Linked DNA regions of Macaca fascicularis. The protein of the gene in region 4 purifies or fractionates together with the protein of the main gene of each other region. This does not show direct contact. Links are inferred from orthologs where the notes say so. Each region holds a gene or a part of one and is shown on either strand. Other genes may lie near its edges.

Region 1 (3,500 bases), on a different chromosome or scaffold from region 4:
TTTTCTTGCTCACCTGACCTTCCAGGTGTGAGATGCAGATTAAGGGCTGCCACATCCCCAGTATCTCAAACAAAGGATCAGACATCCAACAGTCTCTCCTTCAAGTTCCCTCTGATTTGAGTCATCTGTGTTTCTAAATGGTCATTGATACTGGTTTCTCTAAGCTCACCTACCCTGTGTCAGTGAAGAACCTGACATGTAATATTTGCTCAATATTTATCAAAGAATAGGATATGAAATTTTTTTGATAGAGAAAGTTGAGAGCCAGTTTATGAAAAGGCAATTTTTGTACAACTCTTTGTCAGTGTTGATTCAAATGACAGAGTTGTAGCTTAAAGAAGTGTATTAGTCCTTTGGTTGTAATGCGTGCTTTCTCACTTTAGGCAACAGAAGCAGCAGTATACTAACCAGCTTGCCAAAGAAACAGATAAGTACATTAAAGAGTTTGGATCTCTGCCCACCACCCCCAGTGAACAGGTATCAAGCTTTAAGACACATTGTTGATGCATTGAATGTGAAAAAAACCAAATACGTTGTAGGATCTTTGAACTGTTACGCTAGAAAGGAAATTATGCTAGAAAGGAAATCAAAAATAATTCTGTTTGAGATTAGTTCATAGAACACAAAACTATATTTAATTGCTCAGGTAGTATCCTGTGGTTCAATAAAGCAAAAATTATTTCCATGCATTTGCCCTGACCCATAATTAAGTAAGTTCTCAGAAAATGCTTCCTGAGTAATTATTTCCTGGCCTTCCGGGGCTGAGTGCGTGGAACATGCAGGCTCATTCAAGATGTGAGGTGTCCTGGGGGCATATATTTATTTCCCTGCTTATTTAATGGAAGTTATTACTTAGCTAAAAGTATAAGGCTTTATTTGCCTGAAAAGGAATTACTTTAAAATAGCCTCAAAATAATGAGCTAGTTTTTAGCAGCATGAAAACTTGAGGTGAGAAATCCAGCATAATGGGTCTTTTGCCTCCAGTTAAATATGCTCGGTATTTGACATACTGTCAGAATGTTGTTGAGAGTTAATCCGTAAGGCCCTGTAATTGGGGAGCAAGTGAAAACTTCAGGATTAAATAAAGAACCAAGTACTGCAAACTGTTTTACTTCACAGCTAGATTCTAGTTGGCTTTTTCTTCTCTTTCCTCTAGCGTCAAAGGAAAATACAGAAGGATCGCTTAGTGGCAGAGTTCACAGCATCACTGACAAACTTCCAGAAGGTTCAGAGGCAAGCGGCTGAGCGAGAGAAAGAGTTTGTTGCTCGAGTAAGAGCCAGTTCCAGAGTGTCTGTGAGTATTTTAAAAGACATTCTAGAAACGACCCTTACTTCCTAAGGGTCCTATCAAAGTCTATAGTAGCATAATTTTTTAAGTCATAAAGATCTGTGACTAACTTGGAAATCAGCACTTGAATATTCATTTTTATGCTTTTCTGCTCCATTTTTGGAGAAGATGATAATTATGTATTACTGTGGTTTTTTTTCTGTGTCATTGTACAGAAGATTACAGACTATATAAAAATATAGAGACGTATTTTGTCAAAAAAGATGAGGGATCAAACCCTGAGTAGTATTCTCACATCGTCTTGGTACGGAGGCTTTCTGCTTGTGGACACACTAGTATAGAAAGCACTTTCCTCCTGGATTACACCAAGATGACGGAGATGAATGGCGCAACTATGTTGTCTGAATATTGAAAATGAACATGAGCCTGGAGAAAATAAATGAAAGGAAGCTTTACAATAGAATTTTGAATTAATTTAATTTTAAATTCCCTTACAAACTATCACGAGTTTTCTTATTCATTAACATATGAATTCCAAGACTACATTAAGCTTTAACTAAATAATACTTATTTGACCCTTGAGAATGTTTAGTGTTTGTCTACTTAGAATATAAAATTACTTATAATTATGTTATTACTTGAAGCAGTTGACCTGAAAAATTAGAACAAGAACTTCTTTCTCTCTCTCTCTACACACACCACACACACACACACACACACACACACACACACACACACACAGAGACATGTACATAAATCGTTTAGATTATTAGGGAAAATATGAGTGTTTATTTTTTCTCATTTTTGCTTTCTTTGCCACTTCTCATTCCATCCTGTTACTAAATCATTCAGGGCGGTTTTCCTGAGGACAGCTCAAAAGAAAGGAATCTTGTATCCTGGGAAAGGTAAGAAATACAAAACATTTTTCAGATCAAAAGGTAATTTTTCAAAGTTTATACATTAAGGCCCCTGGAACAGAATTAAAGCTTTCAATATAAGTTGTTTATATGTTGAAAACAGAGTAAATTTGAAAAAAAATTTAATTATAAAGTATTTATCATAAAATATATAAAATTTTCCAAATAAATGTTTATGGACTTAATTAATAATATAGACTTTCCCTTATATGAGGTTTAAATCAACTAAGAAGAAATACCCAGTTGACAAATATAGCTTCCAATAATTAAGTAATAACTCTAAACTCACGTTAGATAAAATGATATAAGTGAAATGAAAAATGAATAAAATTTTATTCATATATCTGTTATAGTCTTAGAATTTTTTAAGTGAGTAGTTCTGCGACTTTGAAGAGTAAAACGTCCTATTTAATGAATATATCTTAAATAGGAAATGAATCTCATTGTTTTGAATACCAATCTTTGTTTTTTTCCACATTCATTTTTTTCTGTTAGCCAAACTCAACCTCAAGTGCAGGTGCAGGATGAAGAAATTACAGAGGATGACCTCCGCCTTATTCATGAGAGAGAATCTTCTATCAGGCAACTTGAAGTAAGGCTTACATTGTAGACTTGGGCTGCTACCCTGTTCTTAGTGAGTTTGTTCTCAAAATGCTTAGGTAATGCTGGCAGAGCGTACGAGAAAGAAATTTTATTTTTTTCTTTTTGAGACAGTCTCCCTCTGTCGCCCAGACTGGAGTGCAATGGCATGATCTCGGCTCATTGCAATCTCCATCTCCCAGATTCAAGCGATTCTCATGCCTCAGCTTCCTGAGTAGCTGGGATTACAGGCATGTGCCACCCCAACCGGCCAATTTTTTGTACTTTTAGCAGAGACAGGGTTTCACCATGTTGTCCAGGCTGGTCTCAAACTCCTGGTCTCAAGTAATCTGCCTGCCTTGGCCTCCTAAAGTACTAGGATTATAGGTGTGAGCCACCATGTCTGGCCCAGAGAAAGAAAATTAATGTATCAGTTTGGTAGCATTTGTAATGTATAAATTAGAATAATTCCTTTTTGAAAAAAATAATATTGTCCTTACTGTTTGTGCTAGGATGAGGGAACATACTCCCTCCTACTGCAGCTTTTAAAAAATTATGATTCTATTAAGCCATCTATGGACTACCTTAGTATTGAGAAAATACCAGTGTAGAGATAAATGTCTGTCCGAGAGTCTGGATGTCTTCCCAGGATACATGATACACATCATACGTGCATGAGTAAGACCTTTTATAAAGCCTTCAAAGAATTTTATTTC
Region 2 (3,500 bases), on a different chromosome or scaffold from region 4:
ACCAGCAATATAGGAGTGCCGTTTTTTAATTTTTATTCTTGCCAATAATGGGTTATAAATGTTTCAACATTTGCTAACCTGACAGGTGAAAAATCACCTCTTTTAGATTTCTGTATTTTTATTTGGAAATACTGCTGAAACTGTTTTTATAGTTTTGGCCACTCATTTTTTGTAAGCAATTTTACACCCTTTGTCCATTTTCCTAGTGTCTTTTTCTTATTTCTATTATTTCTCTGTGTAGTAAGCAAATTAGTCATTTGTTACAGTTTCCAGTATCAAGTCTTATTTAGAAAGTCCTTTCTGCTCAAAAGTTTATAAATTTCACCTCTGCTTTATGGTTTCTTTTTCTACACTTCTTGGATCCATTTGGAATTTGTTCTGGATGTGAGGATTGAGATAGAATTTTTTTTTTTAAATCCCTGAATAATTAGGCAATGGTTATAGTTCCATTTATTTTATAATTTCTCTTTGCCGCACTGATTTTAAACAACATCTTTATCAGAAACTAAAAATTTCCATACATAATTGGGTCTACATATAAACTCTACTCTGTTTAATTGTTCTTATTTATTTAATTATTTTTCCCTCTAGTATCAAACTGTTTCAACTATTTCAGCTTTTTAACAGGTTTTAAGATCTGGGAGAACTACAAACCCTCTACCACTTATCTTCATTTTCAAGTTGTTCTTCTTGGTTGTTCTTGTATGTCTATGATTCCAAATGAACTTTGGTATCATTCTGTCATTTGTTTTTAATTAAACAAACAACAAAACAACCCTGCTGTTTCCACTGGGATGCCATGCAATTCAGACGAAAGTCTTCCCATCCAAAAACGGACTGATTCTTTCCTTTACTTAAATCTTGTTCTATGTCCCTCAGTAGAATTTTGCACATACAAGTCCTACACATTTCTTATTTAATTCATACATAAATACTTTATAGTTTCTTCCATTATATTTTCTAACAGGTTATCATTTATTTCCTATCATAGTAGGAAAACTATTTGCTTTTATGTATTCATTTTATAATCTACCATCTTACTGAATTTAATTGTTTCTAACTTTTTATCAGGTAATTTTCCTGGGTATACTAGACATAAAATTTTATCCTGCTACCTCACAGAAATTTTGCCTCTTCCTTTCCAATATTTACAACTTTTTTTTTTTTTTTTTTTTTGAGACAGTCTCACTCTGTTGCCCAGGCTGGAGTGCAGTGGCTCAATCTCGGCTCACTGCAACCTCCACCTCCTGGGTTCAAGGGTTCAAGCTATTCTCCTGCCTCAGCCTCCCAAGTAGCTGGGATAACAGGCACCCACCACCATGCCCCGCTAATTTTTGTATTTTTAGTAGAGAAGGGGTTTCACCCTGTTGGCCAGGCTAGTCTCCAACTCCGGATCTCAAATGATCCACCCACCTCAGACTTCCAAAGTGCTGGGACAAGAGGCGTGAGCCACCATGCCCAGCCTACATTTCATTTCTTTTTACTGTCTAATTGCACCATCAAGAACTTCAAAAACAATGTTATGCATTTGTAGTGATCATGGGTATCCTTGTGTTGTTTTATTCAATGGGAATGTTTTTATTGCCTGGCTTATTTTTGTACTTTAGTAGAGACGGGGTTTCGCCATGTTGGCCAGGCTGGTCTCCAACTCCTGACCTCAGGTGATCCACTCACCTCATGCCTCCCAAAGTGCTGGGATTACAGGCATGAGCCACCGCGTCTGGCCATCTATTCCTACTTTTAAAAACAGTTTTTAAAATTAGAAATAGTTGCTGACTTTTCACAGTATTAAAAATATTTGTGGCTGGGTACAGCAGCTCATGCCTGTAATTCTAGCACTTTGGAAGGCCGAGGTGGGTAGACTGCCCACACACAGGAGTTAAGAGAACAGCCTGGGCAACATAGTAAAAACCTGTGAACAGAGGAGTTACAGACCAGCCTGAGCAACACGGCAAGGACGTGTCTCTGCTAAAAAACTTTTAAAAAATTGGCCAGGTGTGGTGGCATGTGCTTGTGGTCCCAGATGCTCAGGAGGCTGAGGTAGGAGGATTGTTTGAGCTTGGGAGGTTGAGGCCGCAGTGAGCTGTGATTGCACTACTGCACTCCAGCCTGGGTGACAGAGAGACCCTATCTCAAAAAAAAAAAAAAATTGCCTTCCTATTTGTACTACTATATTTTTAACATATCCTCCATTTAAATCTTTAAGAGTTTAGTTTTATTGGTGCATAAACATTTATTGTTTTCTCAAACAATACACTGAGTATAGTAAATAAGTCATCTTCAAAGCCAGATGAAAGCACACTCTAACCCACAATGTTACTGTCTATACATGACCATTGACTAGTTCACGGTTACAGCTAGCTAGCTAGGTCTCCCAGAATGGAAGTATATTACCCAGTGATGAATATTAGTCAACTTCGCCAGGAAATAGCAAGAGCTATTAGATATTTTCAGAATTTTATAATGGTGACCAAAAAAAAAAAAAAGTAAAACAAGTCCCTCTAGCATGGCATTTATTTTCTCAGATGTTTCTCTTTGTCATTTTAAATACATGTGCATATATCCAATGCAGAGATTAAAAAAAAAAAAAAAAACCCGAACTCCTGTGATAATGAAAATGTCTCGAGCCCAATATATTACCTGCAATATGTCTCTATGCCGCTGTAATGTATGCATCAGGGCCGCATTCAAGGAGGGGACACCTGCACTGTTGGTATATTCTGCCATTTTATCGTTTACCCCTGTAAGCTAGAAATAAAGAAAAAAAAATATTTTACTAAGCACTATAAACAGCTAAAAGCAAATTATTTGCCTATATGCCCTTTTGGTTGACAGCAAAACAAAACAAAACAAAAAACAAACAAGATATCAAGTAAGAATTAAGCATTCCCCCACATAATCCATAAAGACCAAAATAACATCGTATCACCTGAGAATGGCTGTCATCAAAATTCAAGTGGTGTGGGGAGGTACACATCTTGAATGGAATGGATAATTTCATTAAACATGTCTGTCTCAATACAATCCAGGATCCTATCTAACAAGTATACAGTTATTTGCAAAACAGCCATTTAACAAAGCACTTACCCTTGCCAAAAGTTGTTCAATCTCGATCGCCATTGTCTCAAACATTCTGTCTTGGCTTGATCCATTTAAAAGAGGTGTTGTATCAGAACTAAAAAGAAGTTCAGTTAAAGAGGATCCATTACTCAAATGCAGTCCTTTAAAACATACTTAAAATAATAAGGTAATTAATATGAACCATAAAATGAATTATGGATTATGTTATATAGGGTCTGTGAGAAACAATCTTTTACATTTTTACCTCAAAGGAATTATGGTTCCTTCAACCTCAACTTTAAGTTCTCTCTTCTTTCCTTGACTCTTACCAAGAGGAAATAAGATTGAGGTTTAAATGATCCACAGATTGGATAACTAGCTAACGAATACTCAGGAACTGGCTTTACATTCAATATATACAGCCACCTGCATACTTTGGT
Region 3 (3,500 bases), on a different chromosome or scaffold from region 4:
TGGTCTAAAAAAGGCCTGAATACTACATTATTAACGATCTAAAATCCAACCATCTTTTAGTGTGTCTTATAGTTCATTAAATTTTTGAACTGTTAAACACTGCGACTTGACTGCTTAGTCTGGGGAAGCAAAACAACGTTGGCAGAGCCTGAAACACTTGGGGAAATTTACTGCAAAGCAAGGATGCAGCATTGAGGGTTAAACATCTACAAAGCGGGAAATGATGTGAATTTTAACAACAGGCTTAGAAAGCTAACATCTCTTTAGAAAATAATCCTCTGTAAAAAACAACATACAAAAAGCCAAAGCACACTTCACTTAGTGGAATATATTATGCAGGACACAGAAAAGGCCAGTCTGTTCTACAGCCACGTGCAGGAAATGATCTGGTTAAGACTAAAGGGCAGGGACAATGGGTTCTGAGAAATCCAACGTGCACACCAACACATTTTCAGACAGACTCAGGCAAGCAGTCCGTCTAACCCTACACATCCGTTAACAAATTCCTCCAAATTGCTGCTCAGACTAGGGGCAAAAACATTTTAATGCACCTGACACTGGAACCACACACATACCCGGCACAACGGCCACTGCCCGCAGGCAGCTCTGAAATACCGCCTTCTCTACAAATGGCCTAAGTTCTAATCATCTGTCTCTATCTGATCAGAAAAACGTTTCCACTATGTGAACTTCCACCTTTCTGTCTCAGACCAGTCCAACCAGGTAATTTTCACCTCTGCCTATTCCCCTTCAATTTAACTGCTTCCTCTTCAGGTTTTTGTCTTAGAAAAAGGGATTCTCTGTCGAGGTCTAGTCTCTGTGGCAATGCACAAAGTTCCCGTCATTTCCAGTTGGTTTCCTCATCACCAGTCTTCTTCAGATACCCCCAAAACAGATGGCGCTCAGAGATCTGAACTCCAGCCCCCACAATCTGCCAAATGCAGGCCGACCCTCACCGCAGGCCTGGCTTACGTTAGTGGTGAAGGTTCGAGACAGAAGCTCTTCTCGCTGTCTCTCCTGCTGCTCCCTTGCATGGCGCCGATGCTGGAAGTTTCTGAGCGCAGTCTGCAGGTGCTGGACATCATACTTTAACTGGTCGACCCGACTGGAATTGATGGAGAGAGAGATTAAATTCCAGGAACTCAGGGCAGCAGAGTCTCAGGGGGCCAGGCTTTGTATTCAGGAAAGACAGCATTTCCTTACTTCTCCCTACACCACCCCACGCTATACCCCACCACCACAAGATCTGATTTTGATCAATGATGTTGAAAGTAAAGAAGTAACGTGTGGTTAAAGCGAGATGGTAGCACACAAGCTTCTGGCAGCTTTACTTCAGAATCTGTTGCTCTCTGATTCTGGATGCATGACAGGGAACAGGGGACAGGAAGCAGGCTCGCTGACCTCTTCTTGACCTTCTATGGATTATATCGCTCTCCTGGAAGAAGCCCAAGGGCATCTTTGAGGTAAAGCATCCACAAAGTATCATAAAACTTTTGGAAACAGGCACTGGGGGTGGAGTGGCGAAGGTGGTTTCATTTTAATTTCATGGTGGAGTATCAAACATTAGATCAGCATTTCATTATGGGTGGACTGATTCAAGTGATTTTTCATTTCAACCCAAGAAGAACCCAGCAGGAACCAAAGAGCAGAACAAAACTCCATGGCAACATTAGGCTTCAGGTGGCTATGGGTCTAGTCAGAAAAACAGAACTGGAGGCAGAATTTCAAAATGACACCAAAGGGGTCACAAGGTTTCTGAGTCACAAACCTCACAGGCTATTTATTTTGAGGAGCATTACTCAGATACAACTGTGCCCTTTGGGGGGACTTTTTCTTTACATAGTCGTAGTTTTTCAACATGTACGTGGGTTTTCAGAATATTCTATCGCCTCCCCCCCCCCAGGAGAAAAGCCTATCTTGCCAGGCCTGGAGTAGCAGTGCCATGTCAGAGGTCAGCACTTACAGTTTGGCATTTTGCCTTTTGTTAGGGGGCTCCTTGCTGGACAAAATCTCCAGACGTTCTAGACGGCTGAATATCTGGTCTATGCTTGCTTGGATTTCGTTTTCTACTACTGTACAAAAAAGAAAAAAGAATAATTGCTGGAAAAGAGATAGTGAACTTAAATTAGAATAAATTACAGATTTTTTTTTCAATATCCAATAAACTAGAACTACATATTTCAAAAGGAGAAAAATGTATACACTAATGAATAACAGAAAAAATTCAAATTATGCCGTAAATGTTGTTTTGAAAAAAGTACATGTATATAGTTGTTAATGACACAACAATGCCAATTTTTTTAAAAAGCTGAAGGTAAATCTGTAGAAATAAATTTCCTACCTTTAGAAAATAAACATGCAAAGGTTGTACAAATAAATACTTTAAGCTAAATTTTCTGATATAGGTCTCTTTTCCTTTGGATTTCTCAGACGTGGATTATAAATACCTAGTAAAAAGACTGCCAGTTGAATTCCCTATAGTAATGAGTTTTTTTTTTTTTTTTAATTAAAAAAAAAAAAGCATAAAGGAAGGGGAAGATTAGTATGTGAAACATACAGAGGAGAGCTCCCTTAAGGCTTTCTGTAAGAATGGGTGGGCTGAGCAATGTTGACGTCCCCAAAATAGACCAAATATCAATAGGAAAGGCCCAGGAAAGAATCCACAGAGGTAAAGAGATATGATAAATACGGTCATTTTCCTTATCTCTTTCGATAAGACAGTCAAAATGACCTCTTTCCATTTCTAATCATGTAACGAGATTGCTGAGAAGGCAAACAAAGTCCAATGAACAAAAAAGCTAAACTGTGCACAAAAGAAAGCATCCAGACTGCTTCTTGCCCATAAAGAAGTGACAGCAGTGACACTGCCCCTTCCTAGGCCTTTGCGCCCACAGTAAACAAAGACAGTTGAGATTAGAACAAGGTGGGGCACAGAACCAAGAACAGAGCTGCTTTTGAAGCTGTGAAAGGAGACGTGAGAGAACAGGAGGAATGGGTCCGGAGGGAGCCCAGCAGTGGGGTGGGTAGGCAGTCCCCGCAGGTGGTGTCCATATGACTGACTCAGAAAAAAGATCTTTCCTTAGAATAGAAAAAAAAAAAAAAACCAAAAAAAACAAAAATCCAGCATGCTTCTCAAAAGAAACCATGCTGTGGGAACTAAACTAATTAATATTGCTGTTCGTTTCTGAATAATCCTCCTTAAAAGCCACAGTTCTCAGCTCAGAAGAAATGGCCAATTCCAGTTAAACATCTCTGAATTTTTATGGAGTACATTCCTCTAAGGACTAGGTAATTAGATTAAGACAGATGGAGGCAAGCGCTTCCATTCCCATAGGGCCATGTCAGGTTGAGTGGAGGGGTAATGGGGGATAAGACTTGTGGGATTCCAAAGGGCACACTCAGGGAAATCAGTGATTTTGCCATAGGGTTTTTCTGTCCACCCTAACAACAAAACTCATTCCACGCTGAATCATTAAGCCCCCGAGGCAGAGTGCAGTCAG
Region 4 (4,148 bases):
AGATACCTATGCAATCTCCACCACCACAAAAACCACAACAAAATATTGGAGAAGTATTTTCCAAACAGAAGAGAGTTGTACTATCTGAATTTTCCTGCTGACACACTATCCATAAAGCTCTCCACATGTGTTATTATAAAAGAACTCAAGGAGTGGGCATATTTTTTCCCCCAGTCAACAATTAAAGTTACCATTTAAAAACGCATTCCTACTCTATTAATCAATGATACTCTGTGCAAACTGTAGTTTAATAAGGGCCAAGATACTTAAAGAAAAGAATAATGTCTTCTTATTTTGTGTGGCTGAGGTTCTGAGTATACAACATTTACCCAGTAAGTAATTACTGACTGGTTGAATGGAAACATTTGACAACTTCACCAAGGAATTCATTCTAAATTTTTTCTTTCCTATTTTCTTTCCTTTGTTTAGTTGCTTTTGCCTATCTTAATTTTAATTTTAGAGTTCTTCCATGCTGTTCCATTTATTCAAAGTGATATTCTTGTTGTATTTATTGCCAAAAATATATCAATGCACATTTCTATTGAAGAGTTGATCTTCCCTCAAACTATGACCCATCCCAAATACAATGAAAAAAGTAAAAAACAAATAAAATGCTAGAATTGCTATTCCAAACAGAGCCACTTCCCTTCTGGTGGTGTACTGCTATGAAAAGTTGTAAAAAAGCTAGTGATTACTGAAGATCATCCTCAGCCTTTGTTTATTTAGATAAACGCTACTTCTTTTGGATGGGTTCTATCAGTAAGCTAACAAAACCAGTTATCATGTGAAGTGTGGCAACTTCTGCCTACAGATATCTATCAGATTCACTATGATCCCAAATTTAAAATTTCAGGTCAATATACATTCATACTTTAAAAATAAGAAAAGAAAAAATGTTTTGTTTTTTTTTTTTTTTTAAAGAGTAGGTAGTGGGTTCTAAATTAGTGAAATTCTAATTTAACTGGCTGAGCTGAGGTCCAGGAAACAATACTTTAAAAATTTCCCAGGGGATTCTAATGTACAGTCAGGGCTGAGAATCATTACTCAAGTCACTTTCCTGTAATTTAACATGGCACACTGCAGCAGAAAAATGCTCAAAAGGGCCTAGGGGCCTACTGATGAAATCCAAACTCTTTGGCCTCGCATGCGAAGATCTCCACAGTGTGATCCCGCATCACTTACTTCACCCAAACTGGTTTAATCATAATCCCTTATTTCTTTTTAGTTCCTCCTATCTGGAACCCACTTCCCCTACTCTCAATTATTCAAGGTCTACTTCAAATTCCTATGTCTCCACAAAATACACAAGGATCTTCTCCACAAAGTACACAGTAATCTGTCTCTGAAATCTCTGAGACCATCCCTTGTATGTAGAACCTATCTGGTATTTGGATGTATAGCGACTACTTTGTACTATAACTTATCTTTGCACATATTTCTACTCTCCAACTAGACTGGAAGCTTTGGGGATCGCAAACCGGGCAACAAACAACTGTATACCTAGAGCTTACTCAAGCACACAATAAATCTTTTTTTGTCATTAATGATGATGAACAAGAAAAACATTTACACATATAAAACCAAACTTACTCAAAATTCTTTCTTTTTTTTTTCTCATCAATTTACCTGGCCCCACTTTCTATGATCCAAGTATTCATAAAAACTTCATTAAAAAAAACAAAAAACTTTTTCATACTACAATTTATTAATAAATAAACAAGTCTATGGTTATTGGCAACTTTCATTATATCTGACACATTGGGGAATTTGTTTTTCTTTCTTCAATCTTATAATGACTGAGAAAGGTAACACTATCTTTTTTCAAAAGTTTCATTTATTTTCTGAAGTATACTGCACTCTTAATTTAGCAGGGTCTTCTTTAAAAAAAAAAAAAATAAAAAATAAATCGTGTCCTAAGAGAAAGCTTCAGAATCAGAAAATGCTGTTCTAGTAGCTGTGCGTTACTATAAGGGCCCATTAAAATTCCTTGGGTCTAACTTATTCTTGCTGATGAGCCACTTTACTAACCCCAAAGGTAAAGATCAAATGTTAAGTCGCCAAACCTTATCACGTTCTACTGCCTTAACCGTGGCACAAGGTTCAGATTAAGAAATCGCCTTTGACCCAGAAGTTACAGTTCCAGGACCTTTAACAATAATGACACGTACATTTATTTACCTTTGTAACTCACTGTTACCAGACTAACGACCACTACTACTAGTGTGTTTTGCGTGCAACCACCCACTCTTCAAATTCCACTTCTGAAGAAACTAAGATCCAGGGCCAGTAGAGGAAGAGAAACCGGAGTCGGGCTTTGGAAAACATAGCAGTGTCCATAACCACGCTCAGGCAATAACACTAAGACACTCGACCACTGAGATGCCACCTGTACACACCCACCCCCAGTCCACTACTTTCTCTAGCCTACCATCCAAACTTGAATCTGACTCAGACTTAAGGAAACTCCAAGGAACTGGGACAAATGGTATGTTTCCATTCGACTTGGCCCACAAAGATCCCCTCTAGACAGCCTGTTTTTTGGACCAAATGCCAGGAACAGAAGACAGGTTCGATTTCTTTCCGCGCCCAGCATGGCCGGTTCTAGGGCCCCGAACTTCGAACCTCAGCCCTCTTCTTACCCAGGCCTGCACGCCTCATCCTGCCAGAGGAGAGAGAGAAAAGGCGGGCGCGGGGGGTTGGGTGAGTAGGAAAGAGCTGTGACCCCGACCGCGTCTTCAGTACCAGGGCCGGGCGAAACACCAACTTCTTCCCCTAAAGCGCCACGACATCAGTGTAGTCTAAACACCGCGCCTGCTGATGGCGTCACCAGGGCGCTCATTGGAGCCCTGGGAAGAAGGTTGAATGGCATTCTGGGAAATGTAGTTCACCGACGCATAAAGTGTTGTTGAGGGCGTGGTGTGAGCCAGGTTCCAGGGGCGGCCGGGGCTTCCGGTAAAGGGGCCGGCTTCTACTGCTGCTCCGACAACGTTCCAGCTGCTCCGCTCGCAGCTTCAGGTAGCTGCTTTCAGTTTGTTAACCACCAAGATTAACCCAGCAGATCTGCTCCTCCCGACCCACAAGAGGGTGGTTGGGGTATCTTTCCTGATTCAGCCTCGTACTCCCTCTCACCTCCAGAGGCAGTTGAGGGAAAGTTAGACAAAACTTTGTTCAGGTTTCTCAGTTTACAAACAAGTAATCCGACACCCACAGAAGTAACCGATGTGTGCCTCGTAGTATCCGGTAAAGGAGAGAAAACCAGGTGCCTTTGAGTAGGACTCCTGCTCGGATAAGAGCCAACTAGGAAAGGCGCGGGGTCTCGTCGGAGGCACTGAATAATTTGTGAATAGTTAGTTCCCTGTTACTGCATCTGTTGTACTTCTAGAAGGAACCAAGACTTTTAGTTGTTATAGGGACCAAAGGACCCCTAAACTCCCTCCCACTTAACTTTTTACACAAAGCAGTGTGCCAGTTTAGGGGTTTAAAAGCTTGCTGGCGAGTTGGAGGTGTTACTGGTATCGGGGTTAATCCTAGAATTTCATTTTATCTCACAGGATTATTTATCGTGAGAATACGATGAAATCATGGTTTTTGAAGGAAAAAAAAAAACCTGATACACAGGAGGCCATCAAAATCCACTGGGTGTCTGCGGTTTTGTTGTTGCTGCTGTATATATGGCAGTGGAATCGTCTCCACACTAGAGTTTCCGAATATGTGATCTCTGATCACTTAGCGTTTCCTCATAGTTTCCCAGGACATTATTAACATTGACTATAACAGTGGCATAAGTCTCTGCGTTAAGTTGCTCTGGTAAAAAACACACGAAAACAATTTTTGATAAGAGTTATTAACCTGGGAAGGAAGCTTTATCCAATAGTGTTTTGATAGAAAAAAATCGCCATTTTCTAAAAGCAATGGAATTAACTGAGCATAATATCAGGGACAATTATTACAAATAAAAGATGAAGATTCAATAAAAGAAATGATAGCTAGGTATCCCTTTATGAGTTAAAATCTGTGACGTCCTCTGGTTAAAAAAATTGCATATTATATAATTAAAACATGTTTAAAAATTGTCTTACTGAAAGTTTGCTGATAGAAATGTAGAAACCGTTATTTTTGAAAATATGTTAATATTTACCAGAACTAAC

What was found. The genes of interacting proteins can lie anywhere in the genome.
Region 1: the proteins of BET1 (region 4) and STX7 purify together in Homo sapiens (affinity purification with mass spectrometry; 3 studies listed by BioGRID and IntAct, with this or other methods). This does not show direct contact. The link is inferred for Macaca fascicularis from reciprocal best matches to the Homo sapiens genes BET1 and STX7.
Region 2: the proteins of BET1 (region 4) and GOSR1 purify together in Homo sapiens (affinity purification with mass spectrometry; 3 studies listed by BioGRID and IntAct, with this or other methods). This does not show direct contact. The link is inferred for Macaca fascicularis from reciprocal best matches to the Homo sapiens genes BET1 and GOSR1.
Region 3: the proteins of BET1 (region 4) and GOSR2 purify together in Homo sapiens (affinity purification with mass spectrometry; 3 studies listed by BioGRID and IntAct, with this or other methods). This does not show direct contact. The link is inferred for Macaca fascicularis from reciprocal best matches to the Homo sapiens genes BET1 and GOSR2.

What each region holds. Positions count from the first base shown.
Region 1 is NC_088378.1:36,426,606-36,430,105, reverse strand, and holds part of STX7 (syntaxin-7), read left to right. Parts: intron 1-383; coding exon 384-477; intron 478-1,156; coding exon 1,157-1,294; intron 1,295-2,140; coding exon 2,141-2,193; intron 2,194-2,700; coding exon 2,701-2,797; intron 2,798-3,500. UniProt on the Homo sapiens protein: May be involved in protein trafficking from the plasma membrane to the early endosome (EE) as well as in homotypic fusion of endocytic organelles. Mediates the endocytic trafficking from early endosomes to late endosomes and lysosomes.
Region 2 is NC_088390.1:36,007,629-36,011,128, reverse strand, and holds part of GOSR1 (Golgi SNAP receptor complex member 1), read right to left. Parts: intron 3,176-3,500; coding exon 3,088-3,175; intron 2,749-3,087; coding exon 2,641-2,748; intron 1-2,640. UniProt on the Homo sapiens protein: Involved in transport from the ER to the Golgi apparatus as well as in intra-Golgi transport. It belongs to a super-family of proteins called t-SNAREs or soluble NSF (N-ethylmaleimide-sensitive factor) attachment protein receptor.
Region 3 is NC_088390.1:66,846,360-66,849,859, forward strand, and holds part of GOSR2 (Golgi SNAP receptor complex member 2), read right to left. Parts: intron 2,101-3,500; coding exon 1,964-2,100; intron 1,106-1,963; coding exon 973-1,105; intron 1-972. UniProt on the Homo sapiens protein: Involved in transport of proteins from the cis/medial-Golgi to the trans-Golgi network.
Region 4 is NC_088377.1:127,321,444-127,325,591, reverse strand, and holds the start of BET1 (BET1 homolog), read right to left. Parts: upstream 2,801-4,148; 5' UTR 2,659-2,800; coding exon 2,640-2,658; intron 1-2,639. UniProt on the Homo sapiens protein: Required for vesicular transport from the ER to the Golgi complex. Functions as a SNARE involved in the docking process of ER-derived vesicles with the cis-Golgi membrane.